Linked DNA regions of Rhinolophus ferrumequinum. The protein of the gene in region 1 interacts with the protein of each later gene in a pairwise test. Links are inferred from orthologs where the notes say so. Each region holds a gene or a part of one and is shown on either strand. Other genes may lie near its edges.

Region 1 (7,105 bases):
AAAACAGTATCTCAGTGGAGATTTAAATGCTTGTCTTTTAGTGAGTTGAGCATCTTTTCATTCATTTACCAGCCATTCCTATGTTCTTTCTCGTAAAATTTCTGTAGTATCTTTTGTCCATTTTTCCAGAGAGATGCTATTTTTCTAAAAAATAATATTTTCATTGTGAAGTATCCATACAGAAAAATATACAAAAGTTTTTGTATGTTTTGCTAAACAGTTATAGAGCAAATACCTGTGTACCCATCACCTGATCAAAAAGTAGAACACTGAAAGGAAAAGGAATTCTGGATTGCCTTAGGAACTCTGGAACTGCCTGTTCCTAAGAAAAACCTCCACCCTCCACACTCAATCAAACAACACTCCCTCTGCCCCCGTTAGCCAGCCTGACTTTCATTATTGTGTTCATTTCCTTCCTTTTCTTTATAATTATACCACCTATCTATGCATCCCTATGCAATATAGTTCAGTTTTGCCTGCTTTTAAACTTTATATAAATGGAATCATACTTTGTATATTTTTTTGTATCTTGCTTTTTTGTGTGTGTTTAATATTACCTTTGTGAATATTTATTCATATTGTTGAACATAACCATAGTTTATTAATTTTCGTTGTCTGAATATACCACAATTTAACCATTTTATGCTTGATAAACATTTGGGAGGTTTCCAGTGTGGGGTGCTGAGGAACAAAGCTGCTATGAATATTCTTGTACAGTGATCCTGACATTTACAATTCTGCATTTCTTTATAATACATATAATACTGTGACTGCTGGGACACAGTATACATAGCTTCAATTTTATTAGATTTTATCAGAGTCTTTTTCTAAAATGGCTGTGCCAGTTTACACTCCCACCAGCAGGGTAAGGATGAAGATGGCTGGTATTTATTTATTGATTTGTAAGAGGTCTTTATAGACAGTATCATAGAAATTAGCCCTTTGTAATAGGAGTAGCAAATTGTTCCCCCCCCAAGTTTAGTCTCTTTAAAAAGGCACTGATGTTCTTCCAACCCCCCCTAGAGGAATGAAAATGTAACTGGAAGAAGTGGAGTATTCTAATTTTGAAGCATTTAAATGAAAAAATGTTCTGGGTTAACCACTTTATCACTCTTAATGTGCAATCGTATATGTCATCCGTACAAATAATCATACCGGAAATTTTTATGGAATGCTCTGGAATACAAGATGTCAATATAATAATAATGATAGTTAAAAACTGTTGACCTTGTATTAGGCACTGTTTTAAATCCATTATATATATTAACTAATTTAATCCTTACAATAACCCTAGGAGGTGGGTACTATATTTTGCTCCATTTTACAGATACATGAAATAAGGAGCTGGATTAAAGATGTTTTCTAGGGCATATTTAAGCAAAATTAATAAACTCAGAAAAGATTCTTTCTTAACTAATAAAGATGTTTTCTTTTTATAATTTCTTTTTCCTCTTGGGAATGAATGATACGCCATCTGGGTTTCTTTTCCCCATCTCAGATCTGCAATATACCCCATAGCTTTCTCTTTTTTCTTTGAAGAAAGACAAAATGTATATATCGTTCTTCCAATCTTTACTCACAATTCCTTGTTCTTTGTGTCACAGGGACGTCAGAAATCTGCAGGTAGCACTAGGAACCAGAGAGTGTTTGGAGCAAGTGGAAAACGGAAAGAGAGAGACGGAGATAAGGGGTGAAGGACAGGGCCACAAGCCTGGCATGGGTGTGTGAAGGGTGGGAAGGATGCTTTCTTTATGGTGGGGTTTCTTAACCTGCAGTCCACAGATTAAGAAATCCATGAATTTAGATCAGGGAAAGTGATGTGCCTTTATTTTTGCTAAAATGTTAACAGAAAACTAGCATTTCCTTCAGTTATGAATGGAGACGACAAACCAAGTCGTATTAGCAGTGTCTGTGATTTTGTCACCGGTAGAAATCACAAATATTTTCCTAATAATATGACAGCTGTCACAGCGATCTTGAAATATTATTTATGCTCATTTACTACCTGAAAATTATGGTGGTCATTAGGTCTGCCATTAGATCTTATTATTTAATACATTAATATAAAGCCCAGATATTACTATATCACACCTTTCAAAATATTTTGAAAATTGTATTTTAATGTCATTGCTTTCCTTTAAATTCCTCTGTATGTTGATTACACATAAAAAGTATTCTGAGAAGAGGTCCATATGTTTCACCAGACTGCCAAAGGGTCCGTGGTGTGAAAAAGTTAAGAACTCTGCTTTATGGATATTTTGACTTTCATTCTTATTGAATGAGCCTTTAGAGAGTCCCAGAAATGAATCTCAAGACCGGTGAGGCTGTCATAGTTTTATTATTCTATTTTTCCAGAGACACTTCCCCCCATAACTTTCATGCCTCTTCAATATTCTGTTTTTCTTACCTCACTGCCCCTCTTTCTGTTCTTTTCATTATCCTGTGGGTGCCTTTTTACACTTCTATGGGTAGTTTATCCTTCAGCATATCATCAATCAACATATTTAGGTAGAGAACTCCAAACCTTCCCTAGTCCAGATTGTCCACCCTCTCCCAAATTCCGTATTTCCAGTTGCCTCTGGGACACCTCCACTTAGTTTTACCACTACTGTTTGGAACTGAACATATTAAAAACTAAGATTTCTCCCAAAATTTGCATGCTGTCCCACTTTGCCTGGATGACCATCTTGTCTGTCCCCCTGGTTTTCTGACCTTAGATTTATTTTAAAATTTAAATAAATTACTTAAACAAAACAAAACAAAACCCTGGAATCTTTGTAAATGGCACAAAAATCAAAAGATACAAAAAGATGTACAATGAAATGTAAGTCTTGCTTCCACCTGGTCCCCTAGGCACTCAGTTATCAGCCCAGGTGGAAAGCACTTTGAGTCATTTTGATTCCTTATTATATTGGTTATATCTCAAGTCCTTCCCGTTTGTGAGATGTGTGCCCTTTCCTCTCCAGGCTCTTGTGACCTTATATCTGGTTGACTTTATACATATATGTATGTGTATATTTTATATTCATATATAAAATCTCTCCTATGGCCTTCCGGCCTCGAGTTTTCATCACGTCGCTTCCTGGATGAAGAACCTACAGGGGTGAGGGGCCGGGGTTGGGGGTGATGGAGAAGAGGATCCAAAGGGGACTTAGGTAGGGGGTTCGGAGTGGCTGACTGGTGGGAAGCTCTGCCAGGATTCCTATTTCTATCTTTCCCACCGCGGGCCCCCTTCCAGTCGCCTTGTCCAAATGTCTCTCATTTCCAAGAGCCAAGACAGAGACAGCGAGATACAGAGACAGAGACGCCGAGGCACCAGCATCCCTCTCCCCTCCTGTCCCGCCCCACCGCTCTGACGGACACCCGCCATTAGCCAATGGCGCTCACGATGTGCCCCGGAAGGACCAATGAGAGACAGAGGAGGGCAGAAGATTCCCCGCCTCCACTTCTAGGCTTGGTTGAGCCGTGCAGGTAGGTCCGGGGCCGGGGGAGCAGCCGTTGGCACTGGTGCCGCGGGGGTAGGGGGCACGAGTCGTTAGGGGTGATGGTGGGAAAGGGGATGTGGTCCTATCCGCGGGAGTTTGAGGGGGTGGCCCAGGCGGGAGGCGGGGGGCCGGCGGGCCCGGGGAGCGGGCGCCGCCGAGGGCCCTGGAAGCGGCTGGACTTGGGGGAGCGGGGACGCGTGTGTGAGGCACAGGGACCCCCGCCCCGCGCCCACTCGCAGGCCTGGGCCGCGGGCTGCCGGCCGAGGGGCTGGGGGCCTGGTGCCCGGGGGCGGACCGGGGCTGGGCCTGGGGCCGGGGGCGCCGAGCAGAGCCCGGGGCGCCAGGCCGAGCCGAGGTGGGACGGACCGACGCGGAGAGGAAGGGAAGCTGCATCCCGCGGGCCGCCCCTCCTGAAGCGAGCCGGGGCAACGGCCGCAGGCTCCCCTGCCCGGAGCCCACTTCCCCATTCGCCCCCTCCCTGACAATGGGGATGGGACAGAAGGAGTCGCCCCACTGCGGGAAGCTGGCGGGGGGTGTAGGTTTGGGACTAGGGTCCAAGGTGGGGGGAGGGGTGAGAACTCGGGCTCTCTCCCCTTTCTCTTCTTCCCATGTCTTTTGCGGTGGGGATCATGGAGGGTCTATTAAATCCTCCTGAGACTTGGGTCAAGAGTCAAACTCCCCCGTCCCCCCCCAAAAAAAATCCGATGAGCGGTAAGGAAAGTGATGCCAAGTCTTCGAAGCCCAAGTGACAAACGCATAGCAGGAACAAATCTACTCCAGAGGTTTTTATTTAAAATTTTTTTTTCCAAAATGAGGGTATTGTAATTTTTGATTTTTTGAAATTTATTTTACAGAGGTGGGTGCTGTTATTCTTGTCCCTACTCGGGCAAGCCTCCATTTTAAGCGAAGCAGTAACTGGTTAAGCTGGAATTTTCATTCAGGCCTAGGACTTGAACAAGGTTCCTAGGAGAGGTCATTTAATCCATCCTCCTGCCTCCAGGCAAACTTGCCTCTCTCCTTCCTCAAAATTAAGTTGTTTGGTCTGCTTTTAACGATCTCTAGAGAAGAAGGCTCTTTTATTTGCTTGTAGCACTTCAGTCAAGAATGGATTTTATTTTTTATGTAGATAGGTCCTGAAACTTAATAAAATTTAGGACAGTGAGAATGATCAGAGAGGTTTTTATTAAATAAAATTAAATGTGACAAGGGTCTTTTTTAGATGGTCCGTTAAATCACTTTTCAGTAGTGTTTATGAAGTACCCTGAAGAATCATTTTTCTACCTGGGATTTTGGTTTTCTAACTATTTGATAAGCAATTTTATATTATAGAAAACATGTATTACACAGTTAATTCACTTTTTATGTAAACTATATTTCTACATGATATGGATATACACATACATACATTTGCCTCTTTCTAAAGGGGACTGTGTTTTGTACATCTTTTTAGGATGGTGAAGCAAATAGTACTTCAAATCTCTGTCCAGATACTCAAACTATTTGCTTATTCTTGATTATTTTTTAGTCTAAATGAAAGTCCTCTCTTTCAGATACCTTCTTGAAACAAAAAAATTTCCTACCTGCTCATACTTGGTGACTGAGGGATTACTAAGACTCCCTGCTTGCTCATTTCTGAGAATTGTCTGAACTATTCCTGACACTATGAATGCTATGTGGATGCCTCCTAAGGTAAGATGTGTTATTTTTTTTTTTCAATTAAAGGCCTCATTTTATTTTTCTTTAGAATTGAGAATATTCTCGAATTTGCAATTCTTCAACCTATTACCTGACCCTCCTTTCCCCTCAAAAACTACTCTTATGGTTGCTTCCTAGGACTCGTTGGTTACTCTTTACTTTGTATTGCTACTGTTCTTAATTGTTGGTGTTAAAATATGAATGAAGTTCTCAAGTTAACTTTCATTATAATGATGTGTTAATTTTCTAACTTTAAATTATGACAACCCACATAGCTGTAAAATTATCCTATCTCAGTAGGATGGATTGGCACTTCAGCCATCCAGGTCCATTTTCAACAGGTAGTCATAGGTAGTAGGGTGTGTCCCACTTGCAAATCTGTAGCTGATTCATGAATTACAAGTGATGTGTCATTAACCATTTGTTTACTCTGAAACTTCATGTAGAATTTTCTGAGGCCTGTTGGTTTGCGTGTACGACTCCACTGGAGAGTCCTGCTGCTTCCTAGTCATTTGCATAGGAATTAACACTTTTTCTGCACAGGTAGCGCTTTGTGCCAAGTTTCATTTCACAGGATAAACCTCTGTTGGGCAATGTGGGCTGATGATCTTTAGATGAAAAAGCTCTTATTAATGTGGTTCTCAAGTCCCTTCACTCCTTCCAATTTCTTGTACATAGATGGCCAAAGGACACTTCGTTTGTACTAAGTAAAGGGCAAAGCTTAAGACATTTGTAGGGAGGAAAATGAGAGGAAGGATGGACAGAGAAAGATGAGGGGTGATGGAAGCCCTCACCAGTTTCGCCAGGTGGCTCAGGTTGCCTTCCTTTGGAGCTAGATATTAGTGTATTTAAGACCGTTGTGTGGTCATCTGCCCTGTGGAATGCCAATTTAATGCAACGAATAAATCAGAATAATGTAACCTAAATATTTGGACTGTTGGAAATCTTTAGGTAAATGTAGACTGAGTTCTCTTCTTAGTTTATATTCCAGCTGTTGTTGTTGCTTACATTATGTGTAAAAGAAGTCAAAGTGATAGTTTACCAGCCATTCTCCGTGTAGAGTTGGAGGGGTTGTATGGGGAACCCACCCAGAAGTCCTGAACACTTAGGAATTGGAAAACCTTATATAAGAGTGTTTCTCTTTGGTACCAAGTGTTTAGCGCCAGGACCTGGTGACCTCTGTTATCTTTAGGAAGCAGGCAAGGGGATATCAGCAGGCCCTAGGTCCCCAGAAACCCAAGGAAATTAGGATCCATATATTGAATTTTGTTTTACCATTACCCTGGTTTTAACTAATGTATTAGGTACATAGAGCCTCCTTCTTAAGATATATATGATGTTTAAGATTTTACCAGTAAATCTCTGAACTTGGGGTGTTATGTGGTTGACTGTTGAACAACCCCAGGGATCAGGGGTGCCGACCCCCCGCCCCCACACACACACAGTCAAAAATAAGGAATAACTTTTGACTCCCCCAAAACTTAACTTCTAATAGCTTACTGTTGACCGGAAGCTCAACCAATAACATAAACAGTTGGTTATCACATGTTATGATACATGTATTCTTAGAGTATGTTATACTGTATTCTTAGAATAAAGTAAGCTAGAGAAGAAAATTTATTAAGAAAATCTTAAGGAAGAGAAATGCGTTTACTGTATTGAAAAAAATCCGCACAGTTCAAACTCATTGTTCAAAGGTCAACTATAGTTCCACAATAACCCCTGAAGTTGTACCAAAGACCTCTGGGATGGCAGGAGTACAGAGCTTCCTACTATATGAGTTACCTACCACCTGTTAACTACTTAAGAATGTAGTTATGTGGCTGCCTTAATTTTATGTTTCCTACCAGTTCTTTGATCAGTGGAAGATCTCTTCTGAATCTGAGCAGATTTTTTATTTGCTAACATTTTCCTCCTCCTTTTAC
Region 2 (7,414 bases), on another chromosome or scaffold:
TAGGAACTCTGGGAGTCCCATTGTACAGAGGGGAAACTGAGGCACGGAGCAGAGTCAGAATTTGGCCTTCAGACTTCAGAGATCTGCACTCTAAACCTTTAGGTTCAGGTTGTCCAGTCCCTGCCCCTGATCTGTTCCCCTGAAGACTCAGGATAGAGAGCCAGCTTCTCATTCAGGGGACAGTGTGGGAGGGAAACTCACCATTTTTGTCCGCACGACGGAAAATCTGCAGAGAAGAGAAGTCGGTCAAGGCGGCCCTGGGCCAGGGAGCAGGCGCCTGCAGCAGATCCTGACCTGATACTGAGATCCCACTCCCCCCAGGTGGGCCTGGGAAGCAGAGCTCCCTCCTTCTTCCTTCCCAGGGAGGAGACCCCCATCTGGCTGGGATCCAGGGGTGAGGAAGGGATGTTTCAGGCAGAGGCGCTCCTAGCCACCCTCATGGAAAGAGCCACCCTCACGGAAACAGCCGCCCACTCTCCCTTCTGTGCCGCCAGCCTGCCCACAGCCATGCCGACAGACACATGCACACGCATGTGGACACTCGCTCACATCCATCCACATGCTTGCTCCCAGAATCATTGGTTCCACATGCTCCCAGAGCCATCGGTTCACGCGCTTCACCCAGTCGTACGCTCAGTGACGCACTCCGAATTTGTGTCCCGTGGACACAGCCATATGCCTTACACCACTGCACCCCTCCCAGAACCCCTTGAGGGCCCTGGTTTTCTGTAGGGAGATCGGGTTAAGTCTGAATGGAGGTGTCTGCTAAGGGAATCTGGAGGTTTGGCAACTGGACCAGCCATGGGCAGGATTCGATTTTTTAGGGGGTGAGGGAATGGGAAGAAGCAGGTCTCCAGGAGCTCAGAAAACCAGGCAGGGATGGGGGAAGGACAGCCACTGCCCCTACTCCCCAACCCTAGCCTGAGCTTAGAGACCAGATAACTCCCCCTCCTGGTATTCTGGGATTCCGTAAGCCTTGCTGATAGGAGACGGGGAGACACCACCACCTCTGACCATCCCACCTTTGGTCTGTCCCTGGGGTAAAGGACAGATACCCCCCCACCCCATCCCTTCAAGCAATGGTGCGGGCATCCATTATCAGGCACCAGGGGCTGTGACAAACCAAAGCAGCAGCTCAGGAGGCCTTCTTAGACATCACCCCCTTCCTTAGCTGAACCCGGGGGTTGGGGTACTAGGCAGGAGCCTCTGTGGCTGGGGCAGAAAGGGGAGCAGTTATCAGAGCACCCTAGGACCTCCTCAAAGCCCCCGTCTAGGCACCCCACCCTCAGGTGTGAGCTCTGGGCCTGTGAATAACGTGACCACATGTATGGCTCTAGGAGTCTGCGTGAGCACTGTGAGTCCCCATCTCGGCTCGTCACCCCATTTCACAGATGAGGTAATGGAGGCTCAGAGCCCTCACATGGCACGCTAGGAACCTGGAGCCCACCTCCTGTACTGTTAGAGGAGAGAATCAGGAGGGGTCTGGATGGGGGTTCCCTACAACGGCAGGCCTAGGTCTGCAGACCCCATGGGCCCAGGGCTTTCAGCGGTGAACTCTGCTTGCTAGGGTCTTGAGAGAGAGAGTCCATTGTGTGTTGGGCTGTGTATGCACGAGTGTGTGTTTGGAGGCACCAGAACCTGAAACACACCCAGCACAGCTCCACCTTCTCTACCCATTGCTCTCTGCCCAAAGCCAGCTATGGGTTCCAGGAGAGAAGGGAAGGAGAGAGAGGTAATCCAAGCTCCCCCACACTTACAGGGATGTGCTGTACACGTACACACACACACACACACACACACACACACACACACACTCCCCTCCCAGAAAGCCATCATGAACATTCTAGGCACCCCCATCTCCTCGCCACCCACCACACTGGGACATGCACATCCCACCACCATGCTGTCATGGGGCAGGGGGAGGAGAGAAAGCCCCTCCACCGCCTAGCACTCCACCGGAGTCCCCCACACCCTGCAATCCACCAGGGAAATCTCCCTCCCATTTGGGGAGTGGGTGGGAGGGTGAGGTGGGCTTCCCAGAGGTGGGCAGTTTGGTTTCCAGAGAGGATGAGGGAGGGGGTGAGTAGAGAGGGTGGAGGTGGGGAAGGGAATGGAGGACAGAGGGGGCTCAGAATGGAGTGGGGGTGGTGAAGGGGAACCTAGGGGTCCAGGCTCAGGGCGGATGGGGGTGGTTCCAACACTCTGGAAACGAGAAGGAAAGACAGAGGTGGGGAGGGGACTTCACTTTCAAAGGGGGGGGCAGGGAGAATAGGTCTTTGATTAGGGATGAGACTACAAGGGTTCAGAGTCTAGCGAGGAAGGGGAAGGTGGTCTCTGAAAAGTAGCAACTCAGCAGGGACCTGGGAAGGAGAGGCTCAGGGGGCTGGAGGCAGTCAGGGGCTCTCGTCCTGGGAAGGGATGAGGGGAAAAGGGTAGGTGCAGGGCTGGGGCAAGATGAGGGTCGGACCAGGACAAAAGTAGGGGGCGGTGGCCGGCCAAGGGGTCTCCAGAATCCCGGCTCCGAGAAGGTGGAGGAAGGAGTGGGGGTCGTCTTGGTCCGGGAATGAGACTGGCCGGGACGTGGGAAGGCTTGGGGCTCGCGTTCTGGGACTTAAGAGAGGCCGGGTGCGGTTCCAGCTCCGAGCTGCCCAGAGGGATGCGTCGGGGGTCCCCTGCTCGGGGTGGGGTGGGGTCCTCGCGGGTTCCGGCGGGAACGAGGTAGGGCGGCGTCGGGGTTCCCCGTGGGAGGAGGGGGCTTGGGGTCCCGGCGGGCGCGTACTCACGTCCAGGATGACAGCAGTGCCCCCGCGCAGCGAGGCGGGGCCGGGACAGGGGCCAGGGTCCACGGCGGGGGCGGCGGGGACGTCGGGGGCCAGCGGCGCCCGGGGCTCGCCCATTCTGGCGCCTACCCAGCGCAGCAGCCCGCCCAGCGCCCGGCCCTGCGGCGGCGGCTCCCGGAGCAGCCTGTGCGCGCCGGCCCTGCACAGGCGCGCCGCCCGCTCGCACATCGCGCCGCACCCGCCACCGCCACCGCCGCCCGGAAGCCCGCCGACCCCCGCCCGTCCGCCCCCGCGCGACCCCTCCCCGGCGCCGCTGCCCGCGCCGCCCCGCCCTCCCTCCCTCTGCCCCCGCGGCCGCGGCCACGGAGGAGACGGGCCGGCGCCGGGGGACCGGTCGCGGGGGAGGGGGGGTGCGCTCCGCCCGGACCCCGAGCCACGTGCTCCGTGTCCACCGCACCCCCCCCGCCCCCTACCGCGGCTGAGAGCGGCAGCAGGAGGCTGCCCGCGGGGGCGCAGATTTGGGGTCTAGACCCCGGCCAGGGAGGGGCTGCCCAGTAGACACGGGGTTGGTGGGAGGGTCTGCCTGCCGGGGGGCGTCCCTGGGGGCTTCCCCCACGAAAGTCTCCCGCTGCCCCCACCTAAAATCACCCCACCTGACCCGCGGCACCGCCGCAGGGGCCAGAGCGCAATGTCCAGCGAGCTCGGAGCTCCCTCTGCCGGCTCCAGCTCGGGTGATCCGTGCCCGTGCGATGGGCTTCCACCACAATTCCCACGGGCACCCATCCTTCCCTCCTGCGGGCGTTACGCCCCCTCAGACCTTCCCTCCCATTACACAACGCCCAGAACCAGTCTTCGCCCCAGAACTCCCCCTTCCCCACACACTCCAACAGATTAGTTAAGGCGCGCAGTTAGGTGCTAGGCTCTGGGTCCCAATAATGGGCAAAACAGACAGGGTCCTTGGCCTCTTGGAGCTTACAGCCCAATGGGTAGAGCTAGATACAGATTCCACAAATAAATGAATCATTAAAACCGAACTGCTATGAAGAGATGACACCTTGGGCCATGAGCTGGTAATTTGCCCTGGTGCCTAAGGAGGGGTTTGTGTCAGAAGACGCTTCCTGGGGGAAGTAACTCTTATGCTGAGAGAGTGGAAGAAAGGGGAAGAGTTAAAGAGAGGAGGGAAAAGTGGGCTAGAGACCTGATTGTGCAAAGGCCCTGTGGCAGGTGAAGCATGAGCATGAGGGGCTAAGACAACGTGTTGCAAGGGAGAATGGGAGGGGGCTTGGAAAGCCTCCTCAGCACTTCATTCCTCATACACACGCTCCCCTCACTTCTCTAGCATACCGTGTTTCCCGGGAAATAAGACCTAGCCGGACAATCAGCTCTAATGCGTCTTTTGGAGCAAAAATTAATATAAGACCCGGTCTTATTTTACTATAAGACGGGATCTTATATAATATAAATAATATAATACTGGATCTTACATTAATTTTTGCTCCAAAAGACGCATAAGAGCTGATTGTCCGGCTAGGTCTTATTTTCAGGGAAACGGCAGCTGCCTTCTCATTTGCCACACTTGGAGCATCATCGGTTGTCCCCCAAGCCCCACCCCAAGGACCTCCTCCCACCTGGCCCTGTGCTTCTGCCTGGCTCCTAGAACAGGCTCCTGGGCAGTCGGTCCCTCCCCAAGCACAGAATCCTCAGACACGTGAGTGGAGGCAGGCACTGATTTTATTTGGGACCTGATTCTAGAAGGAGTGGGGCCTGGAGTCCTCCTGGCTCAGCGCTCAGCTGGCCCTGGTCATCCCTGCTCACACTGGCAGCTTTCACCCCAAATCGCAGGTCTGGGCCTTTGCTGACCTGCAGCCACTGTTCCCAGCCTGGGCACTGGTCTGAGTCTGGGTAGCCTTGGCTCCCACTCCTCTATCCGAGAAGCCTGTTGCATGGGCTCATGGCCACTCCTGTCTCCTGCCAGGAGAGGCTCCCTTCCCTCACTGGGGCATCTTGTGTCCAGCAGGGCTGTGATGATCTCCCCTTCTCTTTAGGGTCTGGGTACGAGGATGCCAGGCCAAGGGCTAGGGCGGCTTCCTAGCCTCCTTCCTCAGCAGGGAGCTGGCCACAGCTAGGGCCCCGCCCTGCACAAACCGCACAAAGTTGTCCCCAGCCAGCGGCCCCACTGCGTACAGATCCTCCTGCTGTGTGCTCTGGTAGGTGAAGGGGTCTACGTCAATGGGGTTCCTCTTGGCGCTCAGTGGCTGGCTGGGGTCCATGGCGAGGTCAGCACCTGCCCCCGGGAGGAAGGAGAGGTCCGGGTGGGAGCCGATGAGGACTAGCACTAGGGAGACGCCGAAGACCTTCTGGAGGCCTGTGGGGTCCTGGAACATGGCCTGGCGGTCCTCCTTGAAGAGGACAGGCTGGTGCTCAGGGAGGCTGCGGTAGCCCTCGTAGGGGCTGGGCGACAGGATGGACTGCTCCCGCATCATCTGGTGGACCTTGTGGTACTCGGGGTACAGCATCTTGGGCAGCTGGTTGAAGACCAGGCCGGGGTCATCCACGGTCCGGCGGAAGGCGTGGATCACGGGGATGTTGTAATGGCGGGCGTAGAGGACCGCGTCTGCCGCTGACAGCCCCGCGCCGATGATGAGGACGGGGTCCGAGGCCGGGCTCACTGTGCCTGCTCTTGTGGCCGCCTCCAGGGCTGACAGCTCATGGTGGATGAAGGGCAGGGTCTCCCCAGGGATGCCCAGCCGCGCCGGGCTGTCGGATGTGCCGGTGGCCAGGACCACATTGTGGGCATACAGGGAAAAGGGCTGCTGGCACTGGTCCTCGGTGGTCAGGAAACCGCTCACCTGGAAGAGCGGCCTGGGGTCCTGGGCCCCAGAGCTGCTGGGCTCGGGCGTCCCCCATTCCACATTCGTGACCACTGCGCCGGACACGAAGTTGTGGCCCAAGCCCTTCTTGGTCACATAATCCCTGTAGTAGTGAGCAATGTCACCAGCTGTGGCCCGGCTGTTTCGGAGACCTCTGGGGGAAGGATGCAAAAAGGGCAGGTGTCAGATAGCGGCTGGGGTGGCGGGTCAATCAGGGGGGACAGGGGGTGACCAGGTTGGAGTCAGGCCCTGGAGCCCACGATGACTGTGCACCCAGCAGCCGTAAGAGTTGGCCAAGTGGTTTAACCTTCTCAGAAGGTGAAGTCTTCTCTTCTGTAAAATGGAGCTGATAATGGTATCTTATGGGGGAGGGGGTGTTGAGAGTGGGGCCTCCAGAGGCCGATGGCCTGGGTTCAAATCCTGACTCTGCCACTGGTGAGCTGTTTCCTGAAACTCTCTGCCTCAGTTTCCTCACTTGCAAAATGAGGATGACGATGGTGATGTACCTATGCTGTGTGGTTGCTGAGAGAATTAGGTGATGATGTAAACGAAGCTTAGAATAGAACCTGACAGGCCGTATGGGCCCGGCCACTATTACCCCGAAGGATTCAATAATAACATACATCACGATGGTGGGATCGTCCTTTTATAATGTTCAGAAACAGGCAAAACTGACCTGTGGAATTAGAGGTCAAGAAAGTGGTTGCCTCTTGGGAGGAGAAGGGGGTGGGGATTAGGAGGGGTCTGAGGGGGCTCCTGAGGAGACGTGATGGATTTCTTGAGTCTGGGTGGCTGGACGCAGATGGGTTCACTTTGAGAAATTTCATCCACCCGTACACATGTGATTTATCTGTACGTATGATATATTTCAGTAAAAGAGTTGATAAGAAAGAACCCATGTAAAGCACTTAGCACAGTCCCAGCACACACAGTAACAGCAGGAACTATTTTATTATTAATATTATTATTATTATTATTATTAATATTAATATTTTCACCACCCTTTCCGAGGCAGTGACTGTGGGCCAGTGCTGCTGATGACTCAGGTGAAAGCTGTGTGACTCCCTGTATCTACCTGTGTGACCGTAGGTGAGTCACTTTCCCTAACGGTGAACGTACTGTTAGAGATGAACTCACTGAAAGGGAATCCTAAGTGACACGCCAGCACGACCCATCGGCCAATGGTAGGGTGAACTCAGATCACATCCGCCAGCCAGCCCAACTCATTCGTCTGCTACAGAAACTGGAACTCTGGAATTTATTTCTGTGGGTTTCTCATGTCACCTTCTCTGTTTTAGTACAAATTGTTTTAAAGGATTGCCCTAAGATGTTACACATGGGGTTACTCCTAGAAACGGTGCATTGGAAAGAATGAAAGCTCCAGGCCTGGGCAGAGGCTTAGGGACTGTGGCAGCCCCTCAGGGGCAGGGCGCACATCTGTCTAATTTTTGGTTCCAACATCTAAGTACAAAGACCTGCAACGCAGATGCTCACCCTCCCTGGGGCATATTACATGGCCGTGTAAAAGGATGGTTGCAAACCCTGCGTAATCACCAAGTGAAATGCTATGACATAATGTTGAGTATTAAAAGAAGGATATGGAAGGGTATGTCTACAAGTGAAATTTAATTTCCTGTCTGTCTGGTAACGCATCACTATGTGTTGGATGCTTTCCTACCAAATGTGCAGGGACAGAAGTCTTTGTGTAAAAGAGATAGACAGTGATTCCTGAAGAGGTGGAAACTGAGTTGTCCTGAGAGGCTG

The links.
Region 2: the proteins of KANSL1 (region 1) and NECAB2 interact in binary tests that used the Homo sapiens proteins (3 or more experiments, as listed by UniProt). The two-hybrid records come from large-scale screens. The link is inferred for Rhinolophus ferrumequinum from reciprocal best matches to the Homo sapiens genes KANSL1 and NECAB2.

The regions. Positions count from the first base shown.
Region 1 is NC_046304.1:41,156,017-41,163,121, reverse strand, and holds the start of KANSL1 (KAT8 regulatory NSL complex subunit 1), read left to right. Parts: upstream 1-4,102; 5' UTR 4,103-4,267; intron 4,268-4,900; exon of another isoform or gene 4,901-5,035; 5' UTR 5,036-5,174; intron 5,175-7,105. UniProt on the Homo sapiens protein: Non-catalytic component of the NSL histone acetyltransferase complex, a multiprotein complex that mediates histone H4 acetylation at 'Lys-5'- and 'Lys-8' (H4K5ac and H4K8ac) at transcription start sites and promotes transcription initiation.
Region 2 is NC_046298.1:29,518,183-29,525,596, reverse strand, and holds the start of NECAB2 (N-terminal EF-hand calcium-binding protein 2), read right to left. Parts: upstream 3,009-7,414; coding exon 2,784-3,008; intron 227-2,783; coding exon 202-226; intron 88-201; exon of another isoform or gene 1-87. Other genes in the region: OSGIN1 (oxidative stress-induced growth inhibitor 1), read right to left, coding at 4,856-5,804. UniProt on the Homo sapiens protein: May act as a signaling scaffold protein that senses intracellular calcium.